Coturnix japonica: one gene and its partner. The protein of the gene in region 1 purifies or fractionates together with the protein of each later gene. This does not show direct contact. Links are inferred from orthologs where the notes say so. Each region holds a gene or a part of one and is shown on either strand. Other genes may lie near its edges.

The links.
Region 2: the proteins of MAK (region 1) and KIAA0556 purify together in Homo sapiens (affinity purification with mass spectrometry; 3 studies listed by BioGRID and IntAct, with this or other methods). This does not show direct contact. The link is inferred for Coturnix japonica from reciprocal best matches to the Homo sapiens genes MAK and KATNIP.

The regions. Positions count from the first base shown.
Region 1 is NC_029517.1:65,954,956-65,971,844, forward strand, and holds the end of MAK (serine/threonine-protein kinase MAK), read right to left. Parts: intron 15,743-16,889; coding exon 15,422-15,742; intron 13,980-15,421; coding exon 13,789-13,979; intron 13,241-13,788; coding exon 13,110-13,240; intron 12,360-13,109; coding exon 12,228-12,359; intron 10,442-12,227; coding exon 10,367-10,441; intron 9,464-10,366; coding exon of another isoform or gene 9,459-9,463; exon of another isoform or gene 7,467-9,458; intron 7,413-7,466; coding exon 7,284-7,412; intron 6,874-7,283; coding exon 6,722-6,873; 3' UTR 5,338-6,721; downstream 1-5,337. Other genes in the region: transmembrane protein 14C-like, read left to right, coding at 987-1,062, 1,224-1,325, 2,604-2,688, 3,103-3,160. UniProt on the Homo sapiens protein: Essential for the regulation of ciliary length and required for the long-term survival of photoreceptors. Phosphorylates FZR1 in a cell cycle-dependent manner. Plays a role in the transcriptional coactivation of AR.
Region 2 is NC_029529.1:10,576,673-10,593,561, reverse strand, and holds part of KIAA0556 (protein KIAA0556 homolog), read left to right. Parts: intron 1-1,718; coding exon 1,719-2,004; intron 2,005-4,041; coding exon 4,042-4,191; intron 4,192-5,148; coding exon 5,149-5,312; intron 5,313-6,625; coding exon 6,626-6,735; intron 6,736-7,152; coding exon 7,153-7,267; intron 7,268-7,986; coding exon 7,987-8,193; intron 8,194-9,613; coding exon 9,614-9,751; intron 9,752-11,842; coding exon 11,843-12,719; intron 12,720-16,519; coding exon 16,520-16,889. UniProt on the Homo sapiens protein: May influence the stability of microtubules (MT), possibly through interaction with the MT-severing katanin complex.

The DNA of each region.
Region 1 (16,889 bases):
GCAGGTTTCTTTAGGATGTGAGATAGGTGCAGCTCAGGTAAGTAGAAAGGTAACAAGTCACAGTGAGCCAGACATTAAAAACAGGAACACAATTGGTGGCCATACATGCAGCTGCTGCTTAGTCAAAGATAGAGGAATTAAGTGCACCAGGGAATTAATGGAAATAGAAGGAAGATGTTATGCTGCCTGGGTTTTAACTGTTCTTTAAACATCTGTTGGTTCCAGGTTTGTAGGAGAACACAGCACTTCTTTGCTATGTGAATAGTTGTGAATAGAACTGATAGGCTTTCAGGCACAGGAGCTTTTCATGAAAGATAAGGGCTTACTTATTTGTTTTACTTGGCCAACTAATAGAGCTGGAAACTGACTGCCACGCAGACTTTTGGCCTGCCAGTGTCATGTTTTGATACGGATTGGGCTTTTTTTCCAAGTTTACTTCTTTTTGAGTGGTTAACACAGACTTAACATTGAGGCCTGTATTTCTTTCCCGTTTACAGCCGCTAGAGGGAGGCTGTCAAATAGCTGATCTGATTCTCCTCCCTAAGTCTATTTAACCCTTCAGCATACTAGGAAAGTTGCAGAGGGGTCAGTCACTGAGCATCAAGTTAACTACCACCTTCATTAAACCACTGTTAACTTCAAGCGTCCTTTAACGGCGTTACTGTTGTTCAGCAAATAAACCCTTTAGTTCTCATTGTGCGACTGTTCTTTGGGGCATACCGCCTGCCTCAGCAGCTTCCTCACTTTAACAACAGGGAGGTGAGAGGGGGAAAAATAGAACTTGCGGGCAGCCAAGCCCATGAAATACACCCAGATCAGCGGCCCTAACAGACTCGGCCGGTAGCACCGCCCGAGGCCGGAACTCCGTGAGGCGCCGCTCCGCCCCGCAGCACGCCGGGAAGCGCGGCGACAAGGTCAGTGCGGGCCGGTGGCCAACGGCCCCTTTACCATTACAACTACCAGCCGCCGGCGGAGGGGCACCGCAGATGGAGTACGACTGGGTCGGCTTCGGGTATGCGGCGCTTTTGGCCTACGGGGGCATCATGGGCTACGTCAAGGCAGGTAGGACCGCTGTTTGTGCTGGGGAAGGGTCGGGTTTGGAGTGTGGGGTTCTGCCCTTTAAAGGGGCTGGCTGCCTGCTTGAGCGGAGGCAGGGCTGCGAAGTATCTTATTAGTTGAAAACTAAATACGAGCTGTGATGTTTCTTGCTTTCTTTCTTGAAGGCAGCGTCCCGTCCCTTTCTGCCGGCCTTTTCTTTGGTGGCCTGGCAGGACTGGGTGCGTACCAGCAGTCCAAAGACCCGAAAAACATATGGCTTTCCCTTGGTAAGTGCTTGGTGCCTTAAGTATTAAGCCTGACTGTAGGCAGTTCGAGCAGTGCCGGTTAGTGTAGCCTGTTCCAACTGACTTGTGTCCCTTTATGTATACAAGCACTGTATACGAGGGCTGCCTGCTCATAGTAGGGAAGTATTTGTGCCAGAACACCACCAGCTCCTTATTGTGTTGTCTCTTGTGGCTACGCTGGGTGACAGCTGTGTATCCCCACTGCCAGGTGAGGCACTGTGTTAAATTAATTCAGGCACAGGGGGCTCGTGTGGAAAACCAGCTGCAAAGGAGCGTTGTGAGCATAAGAAAATGTACACTGTGGAAGGGAGTGTGAAATCTACAAAATAAAGGAGGGAATGAGCTGTTCTCTATTGCTTGTCCCACTTCTGTTGCTTACAATAGATGGGACAAGAAGCTGTGGGCTTAGCTTGCAGCAGACCTTTTAAGGGAAGCAAAACAACATAAAACAGTAGTGGAAGGTGTTGGGAAATACTGGAAGAGATCAGGTGAACCTAAGAGAGCTTCTGTTGCTTCAGGGCTTCAGTAACTAGTCAGGCCAGTGCTGGTGAGGAGCTGGTCACACCTGTGTGCTCTAGGCTGACCTCTTACAGCTCTGCAACCACATCAAAGCATTATTAGCATTCTGGTGTTAGAGGGATTTAAGGCTGCTTACAAACAGCAGGTCATGCAGTGTGCTGAAGGGTTTTGTGCGATCCCTGGCAAACACTAAAGAGGACTGTGTGGTGAGTAGAAAATGAGGTGCAACACATGGCTCTACATGAAGCACAGCTTCTGTTTGTGGTGTGTAGTAGGAATGGCCATGCATCTCCTGCACCAGTTTTTAGTCAGTGTAGTGAGAGAGATAAGTTGCCTCTGTACTTCCTGATTTTTGGACACAGAGGGTGTGAGGGTGTGAGACACTGGAACAGGTTGCCCAGAGAGGTTGTGAATGCTTCTTTCCCTTGAAGCATTCAAGGCCAGGCTGGATGGGGCTTTGAACAACCTGGTCTGGTGGAAGGTGTCCCTGCCTATAGCAGGGGGCTGGAACTGGATGTTCTTAGAGGCCCCTTCCAACCCAAACCATTCTATGATCAGTCCATGATTTTATTTTCTGCATCCTCCTGTGATTTGCAGCTGAGGTAGAATAGTTGCTTTTGAAAGGAGGCGAGACATATAGACCTGTTGGGACTGGTAGGTGCATAGCAGCATTGTAGTGCTGTGCTGGCTCTTCAGACCTACTTCCCTGCAACCATTCTGACTGGGCTTCTCTTTTATCAGTGGCATCTGGAACCTTGTCTGCTATCATGGGGATGAGATATTACAACACCAGGAAACCAATGACTGGGATCGTTGCTGGTGCCAGGTACTCACATCTTGTGTTATTGTCTGTATTTTTTGAATAAGTGTTTTATTTAACTTACACACTGATTATATTGCATATAGTTCAAGAACATATATATCTCAAGAATATATTGCATATATTGTTCAAGAAACATTTAAATGTTGCACTGAGGGATGTGGTTTAGTGAGAAATATGGGTGGTAAGTAGACAGTTGGTCTGGATCATCTTGGAGGAGGTTTTTACCAACCTTGGTCATTCTGTGATCCAGTCTTTTAAATATTACATGGTAAGTTGTGTGGAAAAATGAAATCTTCTCCCTATCAAAATGAATTGGAATGTTTTCTTCTGTGGTGTTCTTTGAGAATTTCCCCCCATCCTTCCCTTTTGTTTCTTCTTTCCTTCTTCCTTTCTTCTAACAAATATTCTGTTTAACAGTTTACTGATGGTTGGACGACTTGGCTTGATGATGATGGAAAAGCCACTCGGGCCATAAGTGAACATCACACCACCTGAAGATACGTGACTAAGAAGCCTGCAACTGCCGCTGCCTGAACGCACTATATAAAAAACATAACAGACACTGCTGTCTATGCACTGTTTTTCATATTCTTATGCATATCTCTTTAAATGAGAGAAATTGAGAGCCCTTGTTATGTCTTCCAAAGTGGTATTTGTCTCAACAGCTGCACTATGAAGCAGGAAAATGAGTGTAGGATTAGTTCAGCTTCTGGTCCTGCTTTTTCCTGTATGTAAAAGCCTCTTGTCCCTTGCGGGCAGACAGTTGCAGGAATGAAGCTTACATATACATCTGGACTTGTCCTTCTAAAACTCATTAGACTGCTGAAACAATGGGACTCAGGTTGGACTAGATGATCTTGGAGGTCTTTTCCAACATAGATGATTCTAAATTGCCAACTTATCATTAGTATTTCCTATAACATATGAGCTTTTTGTCACCTTCCCCTCCCACTTCCCTGCTACCATATCTGGTCATCATGTTGTCAGTCAGGGACTTTGTTTTTCTAGCACTGTGTTAGAACCTTGGCCTAAAAACAATCATGGAGCAGGGGGTTGATTTTCTACTGTAATGCCACGAAAGTAAACCTGTTACTTGAGATTATTTATAACCAAAAGTGCCCAACTGAATGTAATCAATTTGACTTCTAGAGACTATTTTTTGTAAGAAAAATAAAAAATACGCTTCATTAGGTAAGGCTGAATTGCAGTCGTAGCACTTGCATTTAACGAGAATTAAAATGTTACTTTAAATAAACCAGCCAATGTATTATTATGACAAACTTGCCTTCTATACAACTAGTTTTATTAAATCATTCATCTGGACTGACCCACTTAGTGCCTTTTCTGTAGGGCAGCTGGATGTATCTGTGAGCATGAATTGACTAAGTTATCCCTGTTCCATTCCCTGGACACGACAGGGACTCATAAAGTGAACTGGGCAGGTGGGAGCCAGAAGAAGCAGCATGCAGTCTATATAAGAAAACTAGTATTACATTAAAATCTAATTTTGATTTTTGAGAGAAATCTTCTATTTCAGACTTGAAAGACACTCTGAAAGTTTATTTAAAGACTGAAGGGCTCAGATGTTTCTCTGAGAAGTGCTCTGTTGCCTGAACTCATTCTAAATATAAACTTAGGGTGCAGAAATAATCCTGGGAGCTACACATGGATGGTAACGTATCCCTTTTCTGGTCTGGTTACCTCATGCCTGTTTTTGCACAGGACCTGAGCTTCGATTTCTTCTGCCTTTGTTTTGATGGCTGATACTGTAAGAGACTGAAGCAGGTGGGTTGATCTGTTGGAGTAGTAAGGCTCAGGAGCCACATTTGCTCAGAGTTCTCTAAACATTTGGCCACTCAGCAGGAGTGTGACATCTTGTGGTTTGTTTCCTTTTTACTTTTTCTCCCTCTTTTTCTTCCCTTCTCGTTAGATAATTTTAGTTGTTGGACACAGATGGGGAAAATCACCTGTCAGGTAGCAGCTGGTTTCCTCACAGGAGAAAGTGATCCAGGAGCAAAACAGGCAGCACATTTACCTCACTGAGAACTGCGTGGTCTCACGCTACCTGAGGAAGTAATGCAGGTCAAGACAATAGCAGTAGCTGAGGGCTGCTGACACTGGTCTGTCGCAGTAATGAGGCAGTATCAGAGGTGAGCCACAACATCAGCAAGTTGGGTTCCAGGCAGCAGGGATGTGGCTGGCCACAAGCAGAGCTGCACCAAGGACCAAGAGCAGGGGTCCTGGCTGCACTGCAGCTATGGAACCAAGCTGCCAACAGGCAGCCTGGTCCCATGCCACACAACTTGGGTTAATGCTGGCCTCGAGCATATGTAGTGAGAGCTAAGGGGAAGCTGCATTCATGGTCCTGGCAGCATCTTTGTAAAGCTCTCAACCAGAACTATTTTAGAAAGCATGAGGGTGGTTTTCATTGCCATAGGCAGTTACAGATATGCTTAAGTGGCATATAAGTATCTCTTAGTACTAGTAGAGTGACAGGTACCTGAGACAAAACCAATAGTAATTGAACTCAATTTTTTAGTGTGTTACTAACCAGATCTCTATAAATCACCTCTAGTATTAAAGTAATGCTAGTGCTTCAGTTTAAACTGACTTCTAATAAGCAATATAGCCCAAGTATTGTGGCACATCAGGTCAACAACAGAAACTGAAAATTTTATATGCAGTTAAAACAATCATACAACTACTTCTCTTTTTACAGTGCCTAAAGTAATAACTACTAGCTTCACACCTTTAAAGAACGTACTCGTTTTGTATTTTAAAATGTCAGATTTAATACTACTAAGTCCAAAACATCTATTCTAAACCCAGCTGTGAACAGAAGTAGCCTAGATCAACATAAAAAAAATATATTTATTGTACATTGGGAAATCCTTTGCAAGATATTACTCTAAAACTTAGCATAGGTATCAAGGAAAAGTATGAAACAAGCATATAAACATTGAGGTATTGCATTATTAAAGCTTGTGTGTGTTGTTGGGTACTTAAGCTGGCCTTCAAGATCTAAAGCAGAATGTAACCTCTTTGAAAAGCAGCTTTATTTCCTCCCTCACATAATTCATGTGACCTCTTTAAGTTGCAGAGAAGCCTGTAGCTTAGTAGTGTCATCACCCAGTAAGATGCTTACCAACTGCTTATGCCTTTTTAGGCTAATTCACCATTAGAACAGCTGATGAGACTGCAGATATTTGGATTCCTTAAGACAGTGCTGTGATACACCTCTGGCAAGGGAAATGTGAATCCCTGCAGATCAACTGAAAATGGACATAAGATAATTCTAACAGTAGAGCCTCGGTTTAAGCTTCACTACAGTTTGGTGAGGTAACTGCAGCATTCAGTACTTGCTTAGCTGCTTTCCAGTGTTGCTACTGCCACACATTTTCAGATCTTCAATGTGCAGTTTGTTAGCATAGCGTTGATGTCCTGCTACAAAGGAGTTCTCATTGCATTTATACACTGCAGACCCTGAGCAACTCTTTAGGTACAGGTGAGTTCTGAAATCTTTGTAGGATGCTGGTGTTCTTCACAAAGCCCAGGCTGTGCTTTCACTGTCATGTTTCCAGGAAGGAACCAGAGTATCAGCTGGGAGCCTGGTGCTGCTCTGCTTTAGCCCCAGTTCAAGCTGTTTGCATACATGAAAGCAGCTTATGTCAATGGTGGACTTTGCATAGGGCAAAGTACTCTAGCAGTTGTTTTCTAAGATAGTTCTAAGTTGTTTTCTGTTGATAGGAAGTCCTCTATAGAGAAATGTCAGGTGAAATCTACTTCTCATTACTTTTAAATACATTTGGCAAGATGTGTTGTACAATACTTTATGAAATCCCACTTCATAGCCAGTATTTTAAACGTTATGTGACTTCATTTTTTGTGCATAGGTAGTAGAACACAAGGTTGGCTGGTTGTTCTTACCTTTACTATTGCAAAGTCTTAGGAATGAGTAGAGCAAAGAGGCATTTCAGGCTTCTTGTGCAGGAGAACTGAACAAAGCTCACACAATACCTACACAGGATGGCATTTTCTATCTGTGTCCTCCATATTTAGCCATCCAGTCTGTTCTTCCATGTACTGGCTGAACTGTTGGTGCGTGAGTTAAAATATTCATGTTTTTTGCTGAATTGTAAGTAGGACCTGCTAACTGAGCACGAGCAGCTTTGGTTTTCCAGGAATAATCTGAAAGGAACAAGAACTTAGAATTAATGGTAACTACAGTAGTTAAAATAATAATACCAAAGGTACAGAGCAACCCAATAGGGCTAGTAAAGAACAGAGCAATTCATTTTAATACAGTGCATGTGCTATATCTGTAACATCATTTGTGAATTTACTGAGTCACCTAAGGGGGAGGTATTTACCTTTTTTGAAGTTTCTTAGACCACTATAGGCATGGTTCAACATCATTCAATCACATTAAATAGCATTATAAAGACTCAGGACTGCCACATGCTACAAGGAAGTCTCTGTCAAGAAAATGCCTCTAAACCCATTTAACTCTGATGTTGATGTTGCTTAAACCTGAACATATCTACTTTCCATCCTAGTGTTGAGAAAAACTTACATGTGTATGCTAAGATGTATCTTACCAGATACAGATGGACCAATAGGAGCTAGTTGTATCCGTTGTCCAGCTGATCCAACTTCTTTCTTATGAAAGGAAGGGATGTATCCTCCTGATGGGTTGTAAGTAGCACCTCCCACAAAGTCAGAATTTCCTGTTGATATTAAAACCTCCTGTAATATTTTTAGTTGCATTCATAAAATCTGCATTTTTTTTGGTAGTCATTTCAAAACATAGTTGAATGATCACACGACTAATGAGTATTGTTCTGCCTCAGTGCTTGTCTGGGGGTAAGAAGTAGATATCCTTTCACTTGCATCTTAATTGGACCTTTTCAAAGGCCTAACAAACTCTACAAGTATGTATACTCCAGTACATCCACTCCTATAGTGCAGCAGGGATGAAGATAGAGTGGTATGACAGTTAATTAATATTTCCATTAAACTTAGATTACATAGCAAGAGTTTTACATATCCTTGAGTTTTAGAACAACACAGGGTCTTACCTTTTATTTACTGGAAGCAGGTTTAAGCACTTACATATTTGAAAGTCAACATGCTCTTGTGCTCAACATATTTGACTTAGATCTAAAATGGAACCAAAACTCCTCTTGTGTTAAGTGGTGGTACACTACTAGAAGCTGACTTAGCCAGTTCCCTGGTTAAAGGCCTGCTACAAAAGACCTGGTTCCCCTCTTTTGAAGCCTGATATTTTGTTTTGCTTGGCTTTTACCCCAACTTTCTTTAAGGCAGTGTTGCCTTGGGAATATTGACATAATCACCCTTTCCGTTCTGTCATTTGGAAGCTGAGAAATATTGTGTATTTACACACAGAACTGTTACTGAAATTACTGTACAGTGGTGTGGAAACAATTAAGATACTTAGACTGCTCCAAGAAGATTTCCTATTTATCTTCTCCATACTTGTCATTGCACAGACAGTCTTAAAAACCTGTGTGATGGCACAACATTTGAAGAGAAGGCCTTTATTTTGCTTCAATATCAAGTAACGTTAAATTTTTGTGAACTACAGCCATACCTGATAGTTTGACCTTTACCACTTATGAACACTTGAATCATCTTAACCTTCAGGATGGTTCCAACAGTAGTTAGTAAAATATACAGTGTGTGATTTGACAGAGTTTGTTCTTTTTCCAAATCACCAGCCCCATTGCAATCCCAAAGTATTCCTCACACTAACACCTTCAGTCGTCAGTGCTAATGTCAGAACTAGTGCAGTGGATTCATAAGATACAGAATTGGTTATCTACAAACCACAAATGTATGCTGAGCTTGTTACAAGCTGTGTTGGGTCATCACATACCTCCTCTTTGGGAACTAAGAGTAAGCATTCAGCTGAAGATTTACCCATATCCCCAAAGTCCTGTCAACAACTGAGACTCCAGGTGGCTTCCCTTTCTACAGCTGATGCCAGTCTCCAGTGGAGTAAAGGATGACACACAAGTCCTGATGAAAAATAAAGCTTTAATAAAGTACTCAAATAATAACATCCTTAGAGTCACAAGTTCTTCTTTTTCACAGATTTGCCTGAAAAACAAAAAGCAACAGTTTTAGCGTTACATTCCCTTGTCTGCATACAAATGCATGCATTTATTTGTCCCTACTTCCTAATCTTTTCACTAGGAACACTTCACAAGGTATAATTCTGATCTGTCAGAGGATATCTTAACATTCTGAGGCCTAGAAGTAAGAACATGGCAGGCCTAAATGTAACCTCAAAACGACTTATTCTGCCTGTTTCTTATCTACAGCTCTGCAAAAATACCTGTTAAAAATTTCTCAACCATTTTTCTCTTCCTCTTACCTCTTCATTTTTGATGTTCTTCATGAGCTTTTCAGCAGAAAATGGATAAGCACAGCCAGAGGAACAGTCTGGGTGAAACTGAGAGGTCTGAAGGAACTGTCTTTTCCTTGGATAGAAGAACAATAGGAAATTCAGTGCAAAATTATGACTGCTAACATTTAAAAAACACGCATTGAGAAGTACACAGTAGGTTGTTCCTTACCTCTGGCAACTGCTATGCAGAACAGAAGTTCTTGCTGTAGAAGTCCATCAGGCATCAAGAAGGTCCAGCAGCAGATGTGTACACAAACACAGTGCCAGCAAGCTTAAGCATGGCCTGGGCAGTATACCTCAGTGCATGCCTGACTCTTCTCAAGGGATGAAGCCATTGAAGCGTTCAAGCTGGGCAGTAAGTTGAGAACAAACTACAAGTAGTTGCAAAGGGATACAGTACACACCTCAGCTGCCAGAAATGGAGGAATAGGTGAAGCATTCCAGCTTTACAATGCTTGTAGTGAGGAGTGTGTTTATATCTAAACACAACTGCCTGGAAACCTGAGTTTTCACCTGTTTACACTGAGGTTAATGACCTAAATCTCTGCAATCACAGTACTGTAAACTCAGTGTAATTAGCAAAGAATGAGAATGCAGTCGGTGGTGCAAGTGGCAAACAATACTATGAGTGAGCAGTCCTTCAGAGATACACGTGTCTCTCCTTTAGGATCAGTTCTTCTCCAGAAGAAAAGTTATGAAGTCTCTTCATGGAACATTCAGATGTCATTTAAAAGGAACTTGAAAGCATACTTGTGATCACTTCATTCTCTCAGATTTCAAAGAGCGTACTGACACAATTCAGGTTAGCCTGAATGAGTTAATCTACATGTAATGGGAAATGACTTGCCCTCCTTCAGCATAACACCATTTAGATGCAGATTCAGAAGTGAAACAAATAGACCTTACTTATGTGGATAACTTTTACTTGAGTTCATCCAGGTGACTACTCCAAAGAATAAAATTCAAGGTGGAAGCTGTTTTTCACACTGTGTTACACTGTGGTAACTGAGATAGACCTCTGTTATTTCCCTGCTGCTGGAGGAGTTGCTACAGCTTAACTGATAGGTGAGTGGACCCTGCTTTGACTAAAAGCAGGCACAACAAAGAAAGCAAAGTTTGACAAAACACATTACAACTGAAAACAAAGAATATGATCTTTTTGGAATCCTCACCATAGGTGTATTTTTTTGGAAACAATGCAAAACAAATATGAAATGTGCAAAGAGCCAGGTTATAATGGCTATAAATTACCTTTTGGATCCTCTAATTTTTCATTCAATCTTTCTTTGCATGATAGTTTTTCAATGGGTGTAATTAAGTTCTCTTCTGTAGATAAGGAGAACAAAAGAGAGAAAAAGATGGAAAGACAGAATTTTATACAGAGAAAGTAGATGAATCTGGTTAGGTGATACCAAAGAAATGAGGAAATGCAGATCAAGAAAGAATAGCTGACACTGAAGTATTTATAATCTCATACTCCTTTGTTTTTACAAGCAGGAAGTGTTACTTAAACTACATTTTGGTTCATTAGAAAGTAGCTAAAAAAAGTAAGTAGTTCACCAACAACGCAGTCACATTAAGTCACAAAAGCCTAAATCACAAGTTTAAGCATTCAGGTGTACTTGCTAAGTCAATGGATCATAGCTTTACCGTTCCTTACAAATAAAGCATTTGTAACTATCTGTTCTTATTCCACCCCAGAGCAGCATTGTGGGTATGGAAAAAATAAAAGCACCTGAAGAAACTAAACATAGTTATTTAAACACCAAGCAGCACAGTGTCAGCTTTCAATCCTGTCAGTTTGAAAAAGGACTACACACATCATACATGCACTATATTTCTCTGATCTGTGGTCCAACTATCAGTCTGTCCTATTGCATCACTCCAGCAGATCCTGTTACCTTTCCATTTCTTAAATCCTCTCCATCATTTTGGATGAACAACTTACACTTCACCTGACTTCCAAAAGGATAATAATGTTTTGATAACACTACTGGATGGCTACTAAAGTTCTGTTAAAAAGGCATGCAGCAGCTGCAAGTAAACAAGCCTTCTAAAGATCTTGTACAAACATATTAGGTCAGGCAGTGTAACGTTATAATGTGATGGAAAGTACAGCAACAGTAGCAGGGTGGCACAGTCCTAATCTAAAGCAAAAAAAGGATAAGACCAGATACAGCAGCCATGAATACAGAAACAAAGGGGAAAAAAAAGCTGCTTACCCTTACAAAAACTCAGGTAGGCAGAGATCTCCAATGAGATACCCTCACCTCCGCTGCTAATCTTTAAATGAGGTTTGGGAAGGCGTGGATCCTGGCTCCACCCCTTCTGGTCAAGCTCATTGCTTGCACCTGAGCTCCCCTGGGTTGGCCCTGCCTTCCCACCAGGTGCTCAATCACTGCTTCAGGCCCTGACTTAGCATTTCTGTTACAGATGGTCATTAGCATCAATGTTGGGAGTGACTCATGCTGGCTTCAAAGCTGTTAGGGTGATCTCCTATCAGAGGGTGATGGGACCAGCAGTGGTCAGAAGGTAGATTTTAGTCTCAAGTCCTATGCTTTCCGTAGTGAAATCTTAGATAAGCCATTTAACTTGTTTAAGCTTTAGCCTTCACTCTATAGAATGCTGATAACAGCATTTTCCACAAAAGGTAGTATAAAAAGCACCTTACTTTCTGCAAGGGACTTGCAGTAAGGGGACTTCTCATCTGCTAAATACATTAGGTAGTATTTTGATCACATGGGCTTAGCACCCAACACCTTGTTTGTTTTCATATGTGAGACTGCTGTTTTACAGTGTTCCGCATCACACTGACCAGGCAGTAGTGAGATTAAGCTATTTGCTTAAATAATCATAGTAAGATAATAAGTTTAAGAGGATTGCAGACAAAATTTATCTTGACAGAACTTTATTCTAAGAGCTAAACTGTACTTTCTTTATGCTCTGAAGGCAAAATACATAGCTTATCTAAGAAAATGTTATTTTGAGTCTGTATTTAAATGAAGAAAAATAAAGTTTTCCTATAAGCTAAAGCTGACAATAAAAGTTAAACTTTATTGTCTTAATTAAAGTATGATGAAAAACAAGGTGACAGCTTTTATTAGGCTTCTACCTGTATTATTTCTGTTGAAAGGCAATCCTTCTCCAACGTGTGCCAATGGCTTGGAAAACAGCTGGTTGTTCCAGTTTCCATGAGATCCTTCTTTATTGACTGCTACTAAGGAGACGGTCTTAGGATTTACGCCTTAGAAAACAAATTATGGCAAATGTTATTAATTTCCAAAGAACGATATCCATTGATTAGGTTATATTTCTCAAATTAATGTATCTAACTTTCAGTTGAGAACTGTTGTTTTTATGCATTCAAGAGAACTTCTCAAGTAGTTTTACTGCATCTACTTGGTGTCTATAAAATCATAACCTGATATTTATCGCTCTCAGACAGTTAGCAGAAATGAAAGAAACTGATTGAAAATAAAGGTTCTCAAGGCTAAAAATAAACTATTTCTTCAGGAGGACAAAAGTTCTTGTTACTTCAGCATGTTATGAGCATTAGTGAGTTAATGGGATTACACAGCATGAAAGCAGCTTATATATCTAGTGGTTACTATTAATTAACTATATTAATACCGATAAATAAAAAATATGCTTCTTGGAACTATTATTCTCTTAAGTGCAAAATATTTTTTAAACTACTATGCCATTCTCATTGAAACTTAATAAAAACAGAAGTATTATGAGCATGCATAAAAATGTCAGGTATGTAGATTAACTTCCTATTTGTCATTTTTAAATAGGAAAGCTTTTGTCCCCTCTTTTGGGCAAACTGTTGAGTCTTAGGGCATCCTATTAAGCGCTGAAGAAGTGATTTCGTACTTAGAAATCATCACTGTGCTAAAGAGAATTATCCAGTGTGAGATCTGAAGTTTAAATGTACTGTATATAGATAGTCGGCTGTTTGCATTTTCCATGACATGTTGACTTTTCCCCTTACCTGGCAGATATCTTGATTGTTTTAGATAGTACTGTTTTGCTGATGTATTGGTTCTTCCAGAATCGTTTCTCATCAGAACTTTATTTTCCACTCCCGGCTGGATACAATGAGAAGCTTTTGGTTCTGGCACACTGAAAAAGAAATAAATCAAAATGTTCAGGCTGTGTAACCAACAAGTCCACCTTAGAATGCCATGAGCTGAGGCTGGCTTAAGGATGCAGCGCTCTTTTCTTATCCTGCTTTCATCAGTAGACTTTATTTCCACAGAAAGCAACAGCTAAATCTCATACATCATAAGAGTTTTACATGAGAATATGAAAGGGGGGGGGGGGGAAGAAAAAAAAGATGTGTATATGTTATGTTGAATTAAAGGCAACTAAGCAACTGTGGCAGAACTTTCCCTAGCCTCACTGACACAGGAAATCAAGTACTACTTCAGTAAATCACTGTTTCTTAAAAACAAGATAGACACCTATGTTATAGATAGAATGTACAGATGTTACTGGTGCTACATCAATACTGCACTCAAAGCCGACCTGTTCACAAAGCCCTTTGCACTATTGCAGAGTTTCAGTGAGTTAAATTTTAGTAGACCTGTTTTAACCAATCTATAAATCTACTGGCCACTGTGTATTCAAAAACCTTTGTTAACAAGTGATTTTAGAATTACAGGACTTACCTAAAATGACATTCCTTGTTTTTCTTTTCTTTTAACAGTGCAATGCTAGGCTTCTTTGAGCATGACATTCCAAATTCAGCATCATCCAATTCATCCCAGCTGTCCACAGCCTTTATCAAAGTCTGACCCCATCGTCTCCTGCAACTTTTAGGACCCACTGTGCCATTCTGGGGGCCACTAGCCGCTTGTTTCTAGTTCAAATATAAAAATAAATAATAATAATAAAAAAAAAAAGATAAAAAATACAACTTTAATTAAAAGTTTAAATTCTAAGAAAGATTAAATTCTAAAACTTGATATTTTACATATAGTTCACTACTACCACTTAAGAACATTGAAGGATATATATATATATATATATATATACACTTCAATATATATATAAGCCATTGCGTTGTGCCTTTTTTTGGTCATAACCTTAATGATTTTAAGTACAAAATATATAACAAAGTTGGTAGGTATTTTGAGCGCAGCCCTTTTGGACGGCCAGCTTCAGATGGCTCAAATCTAGCTGATGTATTCAGTTAACATTCTGCTTACAGGCCCAGTTCAGCACTCAGCCTCTGTTTCTGGTATCTTGCTGAATTTGCCAGTGGAACAGTAATTGTCAGAAGCTAAAAATCTTACTTTTAAGATTATTATGAGCTTAGAAATTGCAAGGTCCATGTGATTCAAAGTATTGCTCAGTTTGCATCTATTCACTGGTAGCCAGCAGGTGGTAATCAAGGAAACAAATGACTAAAGGTAGCTTGCTCAGGTATTTTCCTGCTCTAGGCATTGAAAGTTCTTACCTTTTTTTTTTTGTGTATACTAACCAATGTTTTTGCAAATTGTTTCTCAAAGCTTAGTGAATGATTGTTATTATAACCACATTACCGCAACAATGCATTAGTAAAAGTTATTATAAAAGAACACAGATTGTTGTTACAAGGAACCCAGGTATGTCCAACCCATGGCCCAGCACAGCTCACAGTGCATCTACGCCAACCCCATGCCATCATGGTGGCAGCTCTTCCCTGCTGAGCAGCCTGGCCAAGCCCCAAGCATTTGCCCATCATTCAGCAGCCACCACAGTGCGCTGCTAATGCTCTTACAGATGAAACCAGAGCAAGGAAAGGGCACAGTGCAGTGCTAACTCCAGTTAAGACAAATAATTCTTAAGTGTTTTGGTACATTGGCTAAATACAGTCCTGTGAACAGAGAAAAAATATCTAGTCTTGCTTTCCATTTTGATGAAGGAAATTGAGAATTGGTTTCAAAATTGCTTTAAAATCAGTAATATGTATTTGTGACTCCATGTTCAGTTATCATAAATACATTACCTGCAAATTTTCTAGGGGCATGTATTGAGTGGCAACCAGATATTCAACTCCAAAATGCAATAATGTCTATCTCCCCAGAGACAGACATTCCTAGTTTCACAATCATGCCGTATTCATGTCATTGCTTTTGGGTGGTATGCACATTCACGAACAATTATTGTCAAGGCCAAAGTACAGGAGGAGTAAGATTTCATCCAAAATCTCTGATGAACACCTTGAGACCTCTCTGAGAATCACAAGCACTGCCATTGAATCAGCCTGATATGTAAGTTTCACAAAACCAGGGTAAACTACCCCAACAGACAACTTACCATGGATGAGTCTTTACTGATAGCTGGAAAAAATGGCTGTGCCTGTGGCTGCTGTTGTTTTGGTATTTGCTGGTTAGCTGTATTCTGAGGCAACTGAATTTGCTGGAGAGGCTGGTGGTTGGCCTTTGACAGGGACTGTGGCTGTGTTTTGTCAGGTTCATCAGGTGAAGACAAAGGTTCTGGCTTGGATACAGCTTCCAGTTTGGGTAAAGTTGGCTTTGGTTCTGTTGGCTGCACTGGTTTAATAGGAGTCTGCTTCTCCAAATATTGTGGAGGAGGTCCTAAAACTTGGCCAACTTGAAAGTATGGGTACTTCAGTGCCTAGAGAAGAAATAACATACTAACTGTACTTCAAAAAGTTGACTTTGGCAACTTCTTTGAGGATATGAGCATGTTCCTGAAGCATTTGAGTAATCTCTATCATAGTAAAGAAAGACAGATGCAGAAGAAGTTTGCGTGTAAATGTATCTAGCCACCTCTCAGCTCTCTCCACCATATAATTTAGTAAGATAGATCCACCTGTGCATGTTATAGAAGCCTTTTTCTTCCCTTCTATGTTTGGTGAAGTCTGTGTTTTTACGTGCATTTTACATTTAACTCCATTCCATGTTCACACAGTAACAAACTACAACTTAAAAACAGGTTGTTTCAACTATAGTAAATAATTGTTGGTTCTCTATTGCATGCTTCCCTGCTAACTATCTTACATACATGACAAATACACCAGTTCTTCCTATTCCTGTGGAACAAGTTCTTGCTGCCACTCCTGGGTCAATGCCTACTCTTTGCTAGTTCTCAAAGAAAGTTTTTGCCTCAGCTGTTCTTGAAAAATCACTGCCTTTGTACCCTCTTCTATGAACATGCATTAAACTTTCCCTTTTGGTTAAGGATTGCACAACTGCTGCAGCTGCTTCCTTGCCAGCTCACTCAGGCAGAACCTGGTTACTTGTTGTCACACAGCATTCTGCATAGAGATGTATAGCACCACGCAACAGTTTGATCTCAGTGACTGTAACAATATATATGCTTTATAAAGTAGACAGACATGGTTGCTCTGCTTTGCACCACCTGCTTAACCACTTCTGAATCACTTTCGTTATGTCCACCAATGATAAACCCATTACCTTCCTTTTGTTTCCCAACTGCACTCTCCTCTCATACCTTCTAAGTAGAATTCTATTAGGTGTACATTCTCAAGAAAAAAGAAGCAGGATGTGTATATCTTTGAAATACCTGATTTTCTAAAATTAACCTAGAAAAAGAAACCATGACCTTAGTGACCTACTGATATGTTCTTATCAAAGTTCTTCCCTTATCACTCAGTACATTGTATGGCCCATTTCCTAGAGAAAAAAAAAAAGAATTATCCTGCACTCTCCCTACTGCATTCCATCTGCAGCTTTACAATAACAAAGCCTTGCTTTCAGTATCTCCCACTGAAGTGTTCAAAAGCCTACTCTGGCCTTCA
Region 2 (16,889 bases), on another chromosome or scaffold:
CTTCCCTAGCTTGTGTTTTCAGAGGTTCAATATCAGCTTTCATTTTGATGTATCCCATGGATTATTGTTACTGGTTAAGTTGTTTGTACTAAATCAACTATCATCCTAATTAGCAAACAATTAAATCCATTACCACTGTGGCCGCCTTCTCCTTCCACTACCCCCTTGCCTTTCCTCTCTGTGTGCCCTGGCCCAGCACATGCTGTCATGGAAAATGAGCAACTGTTTTTAGTCCAGAAATTGCTAAGCTGACTATATTTGGAATGGGAAGTAACACAGTATTTAAGAAGTGAAAGTTAATTTTATGAACTGGGAATTCAAAGCTCCTGTAACAGAAGATTTGAATAGAGCAAGTTGCATTGTAAAAGCTCCCTAATCTCTCGATGTTTTTAAACCTTTATATTTAAGTTAGACATGTCTTAAATACATTGGTGGAGCGTATGTGTATTCCATGTGCTTGTATTCCAGTGGAATGATAGAAAAGCAGGCTATTTCCATTATCCTGCATTTCTACATTTTCTGTATTGCTTTTGGGCTTATGATTTTACTTGCCACTCTGCAAAGCCGTAACTTGCTTTCAGTGACAAGTTTTTATAATTCTTTGTGTAAGTAACAAGCTTTTAAATTTAATATTGAGACAAAACCCAGTTTTTTTTATATCCCAGCTGGAAATATGTTTGGCATTCCTGAAGCTGAACTTTGTTCTCTGAACTGTCTTACAATGCAGCTGCTGTGATGTTTTAAGCTTAAAAGCAAACTCATAAGATTCCCTGTCAAATAGAAATATTAGCTTTGCCTGTCGTTAAGACATGCTCAGTATCAAGCTTGAGGTTGTTTGTAGACCCTTTCTTGAACCTGAATTTGCTTTCTCTTTGTAGTATGTTTCTGTCAACGTGGTTTTCCTAACAAGGCTAATCTGTAACAGGAGAGCAGCGTGCAGCTTTCATTACACACTAAATGTACGCTGTCACAGTTCATTTGTGTCTAAGATAGCTCTGAGTTTTATTTTACTCCTGCAGTTTGCTTACTTCTCTCAAAGTGGTATCAGCAACAGTAGGAAAAATAGATTTAGGACAGACAAGATCTTTTCCTTTGACAGTTATAAAAATGAAAGGCTCTCCAGCATCTTCTATGTGGTTGTGGCATTTGCTGAGTGAAGCTGGGCAGTTTATTCAGTAGTAAATTAATAGTTGAATTTTTAGCATGAAATCTTGTTACAACGGGTCTAATTAAATTTCTTCACAACCTGGAAGCTCAATTCACTGGACTGTAAGTCTTTTCTACTGTTGTTTTTTGCTCTTCAAGTATAGATGTCTACAGGAGCATTGCCATACGTTAAGTTACGTACAAAGGAGTTATTGTTGCAGAATCACAGAGTAGTTGATGGTGAAAAGGACCTCAGGGTCCCTCTGCTCCCAGCAGGGTGCCCACATCCAGGCAGATCTTGAAGACCTCCAGGGAGGGGATCCCACAGCCTGTGGGCAGCCTGTGCCAAGGCTCCTTCACCTCCTTATTTCTTAGTCTATAGAATTTTCCTGCAAGGGCTTCTAATGAGAAGAAACACAGGAGATGTAGGATGTTTTTTCTTTAAACGTCCTCACCAGGGAAGTGAAAATATAACATGGAAATCTGAGTATTTTTAGCACCATCTGATATCTCAGAGGAAAAGGCAGCCACGTGGGTTTATTTTAAAATAAATATTTGAGTTTTCCTGACAGATTTGTTTGTCTGAATTGTGTCAGAAGCTGAAAAGCAGTTTGCAACTCAGTGTAGAAGAGGAAAAGATGGAAGAAGAATCTTCTAGTGAGGATTATGACTTCATTGAAGAGGAATTGTTTTCAGAACCATCTCCTACTGAAGAAACAATTACAAGCTTTGCAAGCCTTCAGTTGCAGAGCAGTGGATCTATGCAGAAAGAAGCTTCTGAAAGCCAGGATACTGGAAGATGCTCTAGCCTGGTTTCTGGTGCCTCTACTGCATTGGAGTACAAGCAGGATCAAAGTAGTAAGCCTCTGTTGTTAAAGTTCTTTGATATATCTTCAAAGCAATGCTCTCAAAGATAATCAGTACAAATCTGAGCCATAATTTGCAATACCAATGTTCACAGTTATGTGCTGGAAAGGTGTCATACCTGGATAATGTCCTTGCTTCTTTTTAATAATCGTGCATTCTAATCACCTCCTTCCTTGGTAAAGAGCAAACCAAGTTTGTGTTTTTGCCTTTGGGTAGACTTCTGACCAGGGCAGCCCTTTTACTGTATGTCCTTATAGAAATAATTCTTCTTAAAGTACATTTGGAATTTAGTAAGCTACAAGAAACAACCTTCTTGTAGTCCCAGGGTCTATGTCAGGCCTGAATATAATTAAATTCACGAGTACAACATTGTTTGTATACATGGATAGGCATCCTATGGTTTCTTTATGTATAAATACAAAAAATTATTGCCATGGGATGTTTAGAAGTTCAAATACATTAATGCCTTAATTAGTAGATGTTACAAAGTACTAGCTAGCAAGTTCATTTTTAGTTTGAATTAAATGCAGACTTCAGCCTCGTGAAGAATACGCTGTATATTTCATATTTTCCCTGTGCTTCTGCTGCTCACTGCTGTCAGAGAAAAGATCTTACCATAGCTGGTTATTTGTTCTGACCCATTAGGGATGCTGTTATACCCAAGGGAGCTGTACACTGGGATTTGCTATGCTGTTTGCTAGGAGACAATTGAGGTTGTAGGCACATACAGCTTCTCAGTGTTGACAGCTACATCAGCTTTCAGCTGGGGCTCCAGCTTCCTGGGCTAGCTGTTCCCTCAAGAATTTAGTAACAAGTTTCAACCCCTCTGATAGGCCCCAGGTGTTCAGTTTTCAGGTTTGAGATGGGGAAAAAATAACCACCATCCAACTGGTATCTGTATTATTTTGTATTGATAGTAATATGCAGGGAGATTTAACTGGTTTTGACAGATAAATGTGCTTGCTTCTGATACAGAAAGCAGAAGCAGAACACTGCTGACTGTGTGGTAGACAGGCTTTAGGTCCAGCTTTGGTGTAATCACATAAACCACAGTGAATGACTCAGTCACCCAGCCTGAACTTATACAGCACTAGACCTAGCACTTCTGTGGATGACTTCTGGGTACTGTTTGGCTTTACTCAATGGTATTTCAGTTCTTCTCAGCTACCTTTTCCACTGATTAAAAATCATAGTTTCTCACTCAGAAATTCATATCTTCTATTGCATCCTCGTTAACGCCGATTGTTTCACTTGATGGTTCTTTGTTCTTGTTAGCACAGATATTTGCTTTCTACTGCAGCAGAAAAATAGCTCCTTAGCAATGCCACCTAAAACTTGTGCTGGTGTCTAACTCCTGTCTTCACTCATTTTCTCTGTAATCTCTCTTCGTTTCTGCTATCCGACATCCTTTTCTCAGGTTGGCTTTCCTTCTGAAACTCCTTTGGCTTGTCTCAGAGAAACAACATCAGGCTAAGCTTTTTCTTTTCCCCTGGCATTGTATCATAGTGAGGTTAGGCTTACTATAGCTGCTTCTTTCTTCATCTGTCATGTAATTAAGGGAGTAAGGGATGTGGTGGCAGTGAGAACGTGAGTACGTGGCTTATCCCCTCACCCCCAGAAGTAAGAGCAGATAAGTACTTCTATGAACTGAATGATCATTTCCTTTTAGTCTATGCCTCAGGAATAATTTTGACACAACTGCATTAACGAGTGACTCAGGGTTTCTTGCTTATTTTTGCTCTTCTGGTCAGCAGTGCTTGGAAATACCTGCCCCTGTTAAGATACATTGGTCTAATGACCTGACCTACCTTATGGTGATGTATTTCATCGCTAAGTTGGTTGAGGCTATGCATATGAATAGAATATAGAACTGCATCAGTAAAAGGAAAGGAAGATGGTGGTTATCATTTTACCTATGCCAGCATAATTAAAGTGGCAAAACGTTAGCATTTAAGGTACAATAATAATTCCTGTCTTGCTACTTCTGATGATCTCTGAAGTTGATTTTTCTGTTTCCTTATCTTACAGAATTGAAGCCAGTGCGAGTTCTTTCAGCCAAAAGAAAAGATAATGCTGAAATGTACATTCCTGTCAGACCAGTTGTGGTAAAAAATAAAATCAATCGACCGCTCTCTGCTGAGTCCTTGCAGCCAGACAGGCAGGAAAGAATTTGCCATAGTAAGGAATATGAATATATGTCAGTAAAGAAGATGTTAATGATTTTGTTTTCCAATCTGATTCATGTGTAATTTCATCTGTCATTATAATATTTTTTTTAACCTTTTATTATTATTTTTTTAGCACTTCAAGAATTCAGACTTAAGTAGGATTGTGAGGAAAAAATCCAGAGCTTGCACACTTGAGTCTGTGCTGTGTCTTTGTTAACTTTCTTCTCTTTTTGCTTCTATACCATAAGATTTCCTCCTCTCGTTTTGGTCCTTATATTTGCTCCTTTCCATTTCTCTGATGGATTTCTGTTCTTTATAGCATTAGCAGAAGTGTGTCTTAAGATCAGGAATTCATGCTTAGTTGAAAGCTTTGAACACAATGCATCTGTAGAAAGAAAGGAACTGAAATTTCCCATGGCCAAAGTTGATGCTTTTAGATTTTAAGTCTCCTCTCCTTTAAACTTTTTTCCAGGCTGTGATGCTTCTGTTTTTCTGTCATGTTTGGGAAGATGGGTGCAAGTTCATAAGGTCATTTATCTTATGCTGCAAGTATCAATGTCTGAGTCTCTTGATTTTTACCAGAAGAATCTTGGGATTTCCCAGAATAGCTGAATACTCCAGTTACATTGAAAAATGTTGGTGGGCTGAAATTATATGTACTTTTATTTCAATTAGCTGTTGCAAAGCATTCCCAGTAAACGTCTGAAAAAATCAACTACATTTTTAATGCATAAAAATCCCATTTGCCGTTTTTCAGTTTTGCTTCTTTTGTGATGCAGTTCCATCTGTTATTTAGGGTAGATGGAAAAACAAATTGGAGCAGTTTAACCTTGCTTTAGTTCGTTACTGTTTAGTTAGTGTAGCACTGTACTAGTAACAGAATTGGATGTTTCAGATGTGTGCTGTTGAATATTCCATGCTTGTTTGTCTGTACAAATGGCTATTCCTTTGTGCTTTTTCATGGCAGGACCATTAAGTCGACCAGAAAGACCACTTTCAGCAGCTCGAAAGAATGAGTGTGAAAAGGACTCTGAACTCTCTGTTTCAGCTGTGGTTAAAGCTATGCAAATTGAAAATGAAGCCTTGCAGAGAGATTTGCAAAGCCAGTCAGTTTCCACAAGCCCTCAAAAGGTATGGCAAGAAAGAAAAACAAGTGTTTCTTCAATAAGGAGAAAAGAGGGTTTCCTTGAACACGAATTATAATAGTTAATTCTTACACAATTGTAGAATAAACAGTGATATCTCAATTGTAATTGGATTTGTATTACTTCCATAGGGTGTGGGTGTTTTTTAAATCTGGCTCCTTGGATACCACCCCACAGCTTTCTCTTGCTTTCAGGGATCACTGAGCAACTGATAGCTCACTCGTGTGATATGTCTACACAGTCAAGTGCTCAGCTGTAGGCCCATTTGAGCCATTTTCATTCTGAAAGCTTCCTAAACAAGATATGTGATTTCCTTGCCAATATTTCCTACCATCTTACTATATTTGTTAATACGAGCACAGTTTCTTGTTAATAATACATGCTCAGCATGTGCAGTGTGTGTATATCTTTTATCTCCAATAAGCACATTTAAAAGCAATTAAAAACTTTATAAACAAGGAAATTAAAAAAGTCTACTCCCTTCAGGTCAGGCCATTGTTCCCTTTTAAGTTAAAAATCGGATTTGTGCAGATGTGCTTAGAAGGTGGGATGCAAACAGGGAGAGAATTTGTTTTGTCATAAAAAATGACAAGACTTGTCCTCTGTTGGTTTTTATCCCTTACGTAATTGAATTACAGAATGGCTTGGGTTGGAAGGGACCTTGAGGATCATCAAACTCCACTGCTCCCACAGCAGGCATGGTCACCAACCTCTACATTTAATAACAGACCAGGTTGCCCAGGGCCCCATCCAAACTGGCCCTGAACACCTCCTGTGTTCAATTGCTATGACAGTTCTGTATTTCCAAAAACTCAAGAATATCTGATTTTATTTTAATAAAACTGAGATTTTTTTGGGGGGGGGGTTAAAAATCTTCATCCTCCTTCCTTGGAGGAGGGGAATGAGAAAGTCCAGGCAGAACTGTGTCAATGCCTTGGCTAGCTCTGTGTCCTACAAAAACCATAATATTTTAGGCAAATTCAAAACATGTGGTACATATACATAGTGTATTTTAATATATATGTGTGTGTATATATAGTTATATTCTGTATACACATATAGTTGTTACAGAATGCTTTTATTTTACCCTTTGTTCCACATAGGAGATCAAGCTCAGCCCTTTCGTTGCAAATTAAGACCAATTCTGCTTAACTCTGTTCATAGAGATACAGATTAACTAAGGTTAGCAGAGCCCAGAAGTTAGCCTGAACTCATCTATTCTGGAGGTGCAGACTGATCTCACTGGTATATAGAAAATGATGTGAATGAAATGTTTGTGGTTTTTTCTTTCTTACTTAGATGTTCTCTGTTTCATCTGTTCTCTCTGCAATGGTTGAACCTTCAGAAAAAAACCAGGCAAAGACTGCTGTCACAAAAGATGTAGAGAGCACTTGTCCTTTTGGAAACAGGTATATCTATTTCCTCTCTAACTTCCTATCTAAGGGGATATTTTTTCCATACTGAGCACCACTTTGTCCAATGGCCTTAAATGCCCAAGGGCAAGTATTGGCTAATATTTTTGAGAGGGCTCTAGCCTTGGACTAGTAGCTGTTAATCAGGGAACTGCCAATAGTTTATATTACCTCTGCTCATATTATTTTGAATTACTTTCTCAAACTGCCTCATATCTAGCAGAGAACTGGAGTGTGGTCTTTTAAACAGACTGTGTTTATCTGGTGTGGGATGTTGTGACAGCTGTTGTTCAACATGGGGTACCTAAGTTGTTCTGTGGGGTGTATGGGTTCATTCTGTCACCTTCACACCAACAAAACCATTTCTCAAAAATGGAAGAATTAAAAGGAAATACAAAAGAACATGTGTTTCAGACAACAGGAGAAACTTCTGGAATTTCTTCAGGAGACTGAGAGCACTTCTACCTGTGATAATGGCATACTCCTATCTGATGAAAAATTGGAAGCAGATTGTGTTTTGACAGAGAAGGTCTGTATATATATGCGCTATAACTCCAAGTACTATTGAAATACAAATGTATTGAATGGTCAGCATTACCTTGTGGCAGGGTAAGAGAATTTATCACCTTCATAGATTACAGCCTTCTTGAAGATGTAAGAAAGCAAGTCTGTCTTATAGGTAGGTTCTTTATACGATTTAATTCTTGTAGTCTTTGAAGAAGAACAGAACATAATGGGACCTCTTTAGCCCATAATTACTGCTACAGCTGTTTCTGTATTACATGCTTCTTGATTGAAGACCTGTTTTAGTTTAGTGGTTTCTGCTAATTCATGCTTTTAATACACCTAAACAATTTTCATATTAAAACAGGTGCTTATTTGTTAGTAAGGATAAAGATCCTTTATTAATCATCAAGGTGAATCATCTAGTGTGTGAGAAAGCCCAGATGTTTCAGCAAAAGTTGATTTCAGAGATCTTATGTAAATTCCCTCTCCTACTTGTTTCCTTGTGGTCTGATTCTCTTGAACTTCTTATTGGCAAAGAGATGTAAAAGTTGTGTTGCTGTTTCTGCCCTTTGGGCTCTTGCATGCTGTGGGAGCCAAGACATCAAATATCAGGAAGCTTGTGTTCTGAATTTACAGGCTTTTTTCTTCTGAATTGACATCACTGAAGTCTTAACAGTCTTTATATTGCTGCAGATTTTATTGTTGTCACTTATGTGTATACTGTATTTCACTTGGGTCCAGATGACAACAAACGTGGAAGTACGTGATGCCATTTATGTGACTGTGGAGCTTCTTTCTAACTGGGGAAATCCAATAAACATTGGCTTGAGAGAGGTGGAATTCTTTGATTTATACAACAAAAAGATATTTGTGTCACCTCACGATGTGGATGTTCGAAATGCTGACTACCCAGGGGATTTGTGCTGCTTGGTCAATAAGAACTTGCATGTAAGATGACAGTCCTGGATATGTCAACTTCTGTTTATAATGTTTACTATTCCATTACAAAGTTTCTTGTTTGGTTGCATGATTGCATTTTGAATTAACAAGTCCAGTTTTCACATCCAAGATGTTTCTATTCAGTTAAAGTGTTTTATGATTTGATTAATTTGCTTGACTTTGTTAACTGAGCAACTGGAGACAGGTGTGTTTAACTGTGTTTTTTATGTGTTAATACTTTGATATTATCTTGGGTGAAGGAACACATTTTTTAGGCTGTTGTAATTATGGTATTTGCAGGAAAAGAAATCACAGCCTTAAGGATAGGGAATTTCACATTCTCAAAGTATGTCTGCTGTTAATTTAATTAGTTCTTGTGATCTGAAGGCATAGGAGCATCGCTGCTACCTTCTTGTTTCAGATGCTTAGTGTAAGTCTCAGTAAACTCAAGACTGGAATTCACTTCTTTGCATCTGTTCCCTTGTTATGCTTTTACCTAGAGAAGGACCATGGAAGAATGAGTAGACAGGTTGATTTCAACAAAAGACAAACTTTATGTACACTGTGTATGTTCTGTGAATCCTTGAAAATAGAATGAGTGGAAATGTATCTACTAATCTGAGATCACCAAAACGTTGCTTGCATGTGTATTTGTTTTGCCCTCATTTATTTCTGTGATTGGCTAACATTTGGTGTCAAGTATACTAACATTCAATGTTTTGATTCCAAAACTCCTTTCTTCTCTGACATGTATTTCTACTTTTTTTCCTCTAAACATGAATAGACAGCACTTTTTAGCAATGTCCTGAGCTTACTTGGTACTTTAAACTGTCTATGCCTACCATAACCAATTGTCTGTAAAATCTGTGTTCAAAGCTCTATTCTATCATGAATCCTAAACGTAGCTCTAAGGAATAGATCTGCAAGTGAAATTAGTTGTCTGTAAAGACTGCAGGAGATAGAGGCGGTGAAATAAAATTGGTAAGATTTCCCTTGTTAGATGGTAAGATAGGAGCATAAGCACTCTTAAGAAATTGTGAAATGATTAGACAGTGTCCATTCTGCTCAGTGATCCCCTTTAGCACTTGCAAAGCTGATTAATTTGATTAAAATAAACTGGGCTTGCATTGACCCTGCAGTTACAAAGCATGGCAGACTGCCTGTCATTTGTGAGCGTGCAGATGTCTCTCTGGGATAGCAAGCAGCTGACCTTTATCTAATTGTCAGGTTGTGAGCTGTCTTCCAGGCTGGAGAGTCAGATTTATTGTTTGGGAATGAGGTTAATGCTTTGCTTTTAATATAGCTGATTTTATTATATGATTACTTTTCTAATTGATTTTTTTTTTTTCCTGTGGGATGGTAAATCAATCAAAATATCCTGTTTCAGAGGAAAGAGGATTGGTGACAATCTGCTTGTATGTGTTTTTAGACCAGGAAGGAATGCGTCCCTTGGATGTGCCCTTTCCATCCACCCATCCAACTTTACTTTATTATCCGCAATCCCACCCGATCCCATGACTTTGGTGTATCCAAGATCAAGATTTGGAATTACAGCAGAACAAGTAGTGTAAGTAATCTTTTCTCACCTCCTTTTGTATGTGTGCTCTCCTTTTTCTATACAAACTGCAGTTTGATCTTTACTCTGAAGTATAAAATAAAAGTAGGTGTTTTCTCTGATAAAATATGGAGCGTGGAGGTGCCCATGTCTACTGTACATTTCTGCTTCTGTTGTTGATTGTTTGAGGTAGATGTAAATGTTAACCTGTTCATAGGCAGTGTTAACATTTATGTATGTTTTGCAAGCCTAATAAAAGGGTTGCATCTTCTGTCAGGTAGTCCTCTACTGAGAAATAAAGAGACAGCAGGGTAAGTGCATTTTAGTGTTCAGCATTTGTAGTTTTTATCACTATATATTTAAACAAAAATGCTTGGTTGCTTGTGTATATAGGTATAAACAAGCTGAATGTTGATCAGTTCAAGAGTTATTATTTTAATTAAGAAGTCTACTAACTACGTGTACATAAAATAACCAGTGATCTGATGTTACTAGAGAGACATCTGATGGCAGATGGTCTCCTGTTTGTGTGTTTGAATGTTACCATGGAAATTATTCTTGTTTGTACACTGCAGTGTTGAGGAGGAAAAAAAAAATAAAAACAACAACCCAGGTACTGAATCCAAGAGGATTTGCTGCTCTGGATTATCAATAAGAGGCTTTAACTCTCTGGTTTTCTTCTCATCTATGTTCTTATATAAGCATATATGGTAATTTATACATACAGAAATGACTGTGGAATGAGCAGCTTAAAGAAGTTTACTATAACATGATGTATATTCATTTTCTGGAGTTGTAACAGCTTTTTACTATTAAAATGTAGGCTACATAATTTTTCATCACAGTTAGAGGCTGTGAAAGGGACTACTGGTTTTGGAGGTAATAGTATGAATTTGTTACTGAGCCTATTGAGTGTAATATGGGAAATATGCAGGAACATATTTGCGTATTGCAAGGCAATGATTTTTTTAATAAACCTCTATAAAGCAAATTGTAAGATCCATTAGGAGCATACCTCACACTTCAGCAGCAGTCCTGCAGTACACATGGTCTAAATATACATCATTCGTATGTGAAAGAATAATACAAAGCAGTTCTGCATAATTCTATAATTTTCATGAGGAAATATTGTCTGAGAAATAACAAAAACTAAAATGTGATTAGATATGTTTTATTTCTGCTAATGTTAATCTTGAGCTGTATTGTATCCTCTTTTGGGGTACTCGTTTTTGCCAAACCTTACCTCAGAAACCACATAAGGGAGAGGTGCCCATCTACTACTTCAAAAAAACAGGTGGAAGAATAATTCAGGCCACTATTTGTGTTCAGTTGAAAATATTTGAGCTTTAGATTTTGAATTGGAAAGTAGAAAAAAAATATTTTTGGAGGTTTTCTTCCTCAAGTTTGATCACTAAGCAACTCAAAGCTCAGAAGGGTAGAACAGAGTATATTAATTCCAGGTTCAAGTGAATAATAAAATCAGGCTTTCAATGGGTGCCACAGAAAACAATCTTATGGAGCTGTCTGACATAAAGGCCTTTTATTTATAAGGCTAGTTAAGTGTTTAAATAGGCTATCAAGGCATAAAGTTGTCTTATTTGAAAACTATTAAAAACAGATTTATTTGCTAAGGTATTGGTTATTTTACTTCCTTAAGTGCTAGGAGGTGAATGAGAATTTTAATATCCTTTCCAGCCTTGTATTTCTGTAAGTCCTTAAATCAGGTGGGTAACTGTTCACTCTGTAGTGTACGTGATAAATAAGTGGTGATTCTTAAAGACACTGAAGCAAAATCTACCTCTGGAATTTACATCTTGATCCAGAATAACTATATTTAACCTAGGTGTCTTTGCTCAAGCTTTTCTAAATGTGTTTATTTCCTAGATGTCAGCCAGAATGATTTATAGTCATGTGTAGCAGCATGGTTGATCTTCTTAAATACATTCTTAAAAATCCCAAAGTAGTTTATACTTATTTGAACTTTTCATTTAAGAAGTGGTTATAAGTGTGTTACTGATATGAGCTTTTTATTGTTTTCATCAGAACAGTGATATCTAATATTTGAACAATTTATTTGAAATATCCATACCTTTGTTTTTCCAGGACCTTGATGTTGGAGCAAAGAAGGTGAAATTATATGTCGATGAGAACCTTGTATTTGATGGTGAATTGGAAAGAGCCTGTGGAGATGTCATTGACCTTGGCACTACGATTGACCTTGCAGAATGCAAGCAGGATATAACCTGTTCTTCATATGAAAGTAAAGAAGAAAATGCAACTGCAGTGACAGACGAAGAAGTGGACCTGCATTTTGAATGCTTACAGACAAACCATACACCAATAAACTCAGAATCTCTGCTAGAAGAAAATCATCTTGAGGATAAGGTGAACACAGTCAACTTGACTAAGGAAAACTTATCCGAGTTAGAGGATGATCTAGAAGTGTTGCCATCTCACATTTGTATAAAAGATACAAAAGAAAGTGTGACAGTAGGAGAGGTTATTGATCGTGATCAGTCTGATGATGAGCTTCCTTTGAGTGGGCAAATGGAAAAACTTACAGGACGAAAATTGTCTGATTCTGCAAGTGCAATTCCTTCTTGGTTACACTCATCTTCCCAAGGAAGAGAGAATCTTCAAGATAGTTCTGGTAAGCAGAAGCCTTCCTGGCTTGCTTCAGAACATTGTTTAGGCTTGAAATGTCAAGCAGACTCGGATGTAATAAAAAAATTCCCTGATCTGACTAATGAAGATGCCAAATGTTACAGAAATGAGCTGGGAAGATTGAGTAGTAGGAATGCAAATGGTGATGTGAGATCTCAAATGCTGACCAAAAAGGACAGTGATGTTGGCTTAGATATTTCAGAGCAACTTTCTAACAAGCATGGCTGCAGCACAGAGTACCCAGCAAGTGGAAGGAGAAGTGTAAGAAAGCAGGGATTAAACACCATAAATCTTAAAAGGGATTCAGCACTCAAAGGTAAGAGCTCATAATAGCAACCTTAGTGTAAGGGCTGGTGTTTTTTTATTTTGCAGAAGCACAAAATCATTTTGGTTGGAAGATACCTCTTGACACCATCTTGTTACCCCCCCCTTGCTTAAACAGTGAGCTGAAACAGATTATCCAGAACTGTGTTGGTGGTTCAGTGTTTAACTGCCCACACTGTAAAGGCTCTTTCCTATTTTAACATTGAGTTTCATAGTTTTTAATTTGTTGCTGAAGAGAACCTGGCTCCATCGTGTTCATTCACTCCCACAAGGTATTTATACATGTCAATAAAATGCCCCTGAGCTTTTCTGGGCTGAAGATTGTAGTTAGGTTTCTGTCTTTCTCAGTGAGAATATATGCTGTCTACAGGAGCTTGTGCTATTACTATTCCTTTCATTTCCTTTCTCCATGCATCTCTCTCCTTTTTACGTGTGCAATACAGAAATCAGATACAGAGAGAATCAAGAATCCATTCAGATAATTTAATCTGAGAATTGTGATCCAGAAGTCCAAGAATGTATCAACTTTGGGTATCATGTGCTGTCTCTCATTCTTGGGACTCTAGAAGCAGAATGTCTGGTGAAGTCATATTGAAAGGAGGAAAAATGTTTTGCTAGAAACATGTTTTGCTATGTAAGCAGGAAACAGGTTATTTTTCTTTTAACTGACTTTCCAGAGATAGCTGCAGCTTTCTGTGTTTGCAGTTTTGCTCAGGTGTGTATTTAAAGAAGGGGATAAAAAAAAACCACTGATTTTTGTTGTTGTTCTCAGTCTCAGTGTTTTAACCAAGCTTATATTCCTGGATTCTCAGTGACATGGGCAGGTATGCTATATATAGGCTAATCCATGAACCATGTTATGCAGCTCTATATTTGATGGAGCTGATAGGCCTAAATCTTTCATTTCTTTGTTACTGTGCTGTTCATCTCATTCTAGGGTATGTTTTATCTTTTCAATATCCTTTACTTAATGCAAGATCTGATTTAAAGGAGTTAAAACCTACTTGTAATGGAAGCTCTTAAAACATATAATTTAACAGAGGATCCTGTAACAATGTAGAATGAGAGATTTCCCTGCATTAAAAGATTTGTCTGTATCTCAAGATGGCACAGAAAGCCCCTCGCACTGTATTATGTTCTCTTTTAATCTTCGTTTTGATGCCTAAAATAAGTGGAAAACTAATACTGAGGAATGACAGGAAAACCCTCAACATGTGGCTGTCCCAGGGGAAAATCCCATCTTGCAACTTTTGTTCTCCCTACTGTATGTGTGGGATAAAAGTCATTTCCAGAGAGCATTAACAGTAGCGAAATGGCTTTACATGTTTCCTTAAGAGTGGTGAATTTCAACTCTCACAGGGCTATGGCAACTTCAGTTTCCCAACAGAAGATTGGAAATAGAAGAGATTGCTGCACGCACACATACACAACATCACAGCTCTTCTTTGGTCGTTCAATGAGGAATAATGAGAAAAATGGAAATTAGAAATAGCACATGCTGGCACAGTTGGCTTGAGTTACTGTTGCTATAAAAACATACATTTTTATCTTCAGTAACTGCTTCAATGTGCAAAGCAAATGATAAAAGTATGTTGATAAAATTTGCGAATAACATAATTTGGGGTGTTATGAGTTGAGAGGATTGAAGAACTGCACAGCAAGATGAACTTGAGGACTGCAGTAATAGGGGTGGAATGCAGTGCAGAAGTGCTGCTTGCGAGGTCATTTGGGGACTAATAGAGAATTAAGTTGTAAGCTGAGTAATCATCAGTTGCAAATGATTGAGGAAGAGAAGGATCCTGGCTGAGTAGCTGATCACAGATTGACTATGAAGTGCTGGTGTGACGCAGGCATGATTATAGTGAGGCACTCGAAGGATGTATCAGTATAGGCTTTTCTGCTAGTTAGGGAAATGTTAATATCTCAGCATAGGCACTTGTGAGACTTCAGTTGGAAAACTGCTGTTCTGATCATCCGTTTTCAGGAAAGTTGATTGCAAAGTGGAACAGAAGAGAGCATTTAAAATGATTTGGGAAATGAAGCGTGTGATTGCAGCTTGGAAAGATGATTGCTATTTTTAGCTGCAGGGAATAGGCATGAGATTAATACAACAGAGGAGAGAAGAGGAAAGATGTTGTTTTCAAGCTTGTGTTGCCCCCAGAATGTAGTTTACTGAAGTTCTGAGAGGAATTGCATGGTGTGTATTGCTGGCGGAAGTAGGACACGGGATTTGGTGATTGAAGGCACTTGTCCAAAGCTCACAAGGGAGATGCATGTTAGTGGGGTTGTTATTTCTGGACTCCTTTGGATGACATCCATCACACAATCAGGCATGCAGAAGATTAGAGATGCCTGACATCTGCAAGTGGATATTCTTTATCAAAGTTGATGGCAGGAATTCTGTGTCATGTTCACAAGGTTCCAATACAAGCAATATATTTTAGGTGCTAAAAGGAATGGTAGACCCTGTAGATCTTCAGCCATTAACCTCTGCTTTCTTTTCAGAACTCCTCTTTTCCTGGTGTTGCTCTTTAATATAGCCAACAGACTTATTAACCTCGCATTGAATATCGCTCCCTTTGAACTCTTATAGAAGCTGTGATCTCTGCAGTGCTTGGAGTGCTTAATGTTAAAAAAAAGAGCCCCAAAACAAACCAGGACAAGCCAATAGATATAAAATACACTTCTATAGTTCCCTATCCTGAAATTTTCAAGCTTTGCGATTTCAAACTGGTTAAGAAATGTAGGGTATCTTTTAAGTTCTGAGAATCTGGGAAGAACTGTTTGTGATCACCCAGCCCAGGAGTAGATGTACAGGTATAGATTTCAACAAGAAAAAGGGATTTGTAAATGATCAGTGTTCTCTGAATTCACTCTCTAAAATTTGCTTCCCATTTGTAGTTCACTTGTGGCATGGGGGAGGGTGGCCAGGTTGGTCTCCAGGCTTTCATGCTTATGCATATGGAACACAATGCTCTTTCAGGTAGTTTCCCATCTGCTTTAGTATTCTTATTTTTAACCTCAGTTGTCCCCTGTGTAAATGATTATTGGCCATAGACAGATTAGGAACATTGCCTCTTTCCCAGTGATTCCAAAAAACAAAGTTAAAAATTAGTGTTAAAAAGTCTTCTGGGAAAACGTTATTTTGCATTTTATTGCAATTGGCATTTATTCTTGAAAACCATTTGTTTTACTGCACGCTGAAGGACTTTGTACAGAAATGAAATCTAGCCCATGGGCCTGTAATTGTTCAGTACTACATTTGCTTTTCTTCATTTATTTGTTAAATAAATAAATACAGAAACGACAACTTCATTGAAAATCATAATTGTCTGCCCTCAGTTGTGCTGAGATGGAAGTTAAGCAGCTCCCTGGTGGGTTCACAAGGAGAGCACTGCTCCTACATGGCTCCACTGTGTTGCCCCCATCATATTCCTATGAAATCCATGGTTATCCCCCATCTGCACCTTACTGTTGTTGAAGGTCTTAAATTAAGAGGTTTGCATAATGGTGAGTTTCTTGAAGTCAAGAATTGCCAGTCTAAAACTGTAGTGTTGTTTATTGCTGTGTGTTGCTCTTTAATATTCAAGTGATTATTTTCATTATGTTGAAATGGAAAAGGCAGTTGTGACATAGCCTTTATAATAGGGAAGCTATACAGAAGTGCTAATATAGCACAATTTTATAGTCAGGGGAACATGAATGTGACCTGCATGGTTCTGGAATGTCTATTGTTGTGTTTTGCTTCCAGTTGTGTCTGTGTGTTAAATGCATATGTTATGTTATTTTCAGATGAGGACTTGTCTATCAAGGAAGTTGGCATCTCTAGAACAAAGTGGCGCAATGAACAAGAACACACTCTGCAGGAGTCCTGGAACTCCTTGGTAAAGTTTAATTACTCCCATCGTGGCCGAATCTCTAACATGGATTTTCAAGGGGATATTTTTGATGAGTTTCTCCATCAGCAGAAAATCAGTCGACCTGGAGAATATCACCTCGTGAGAAAAGAGGGAGCACAAACACTATCAAAAAGGCGAGAAGAAGAAAATCCTGTGGAGGCACATGATGGAAATGATTTTAAAATACCCGTTTTACCTTATGGACAGCACTTGGTAATAGACATTCGAACAACATGGGGAGACAGGCATTATGTTGGTCTTAA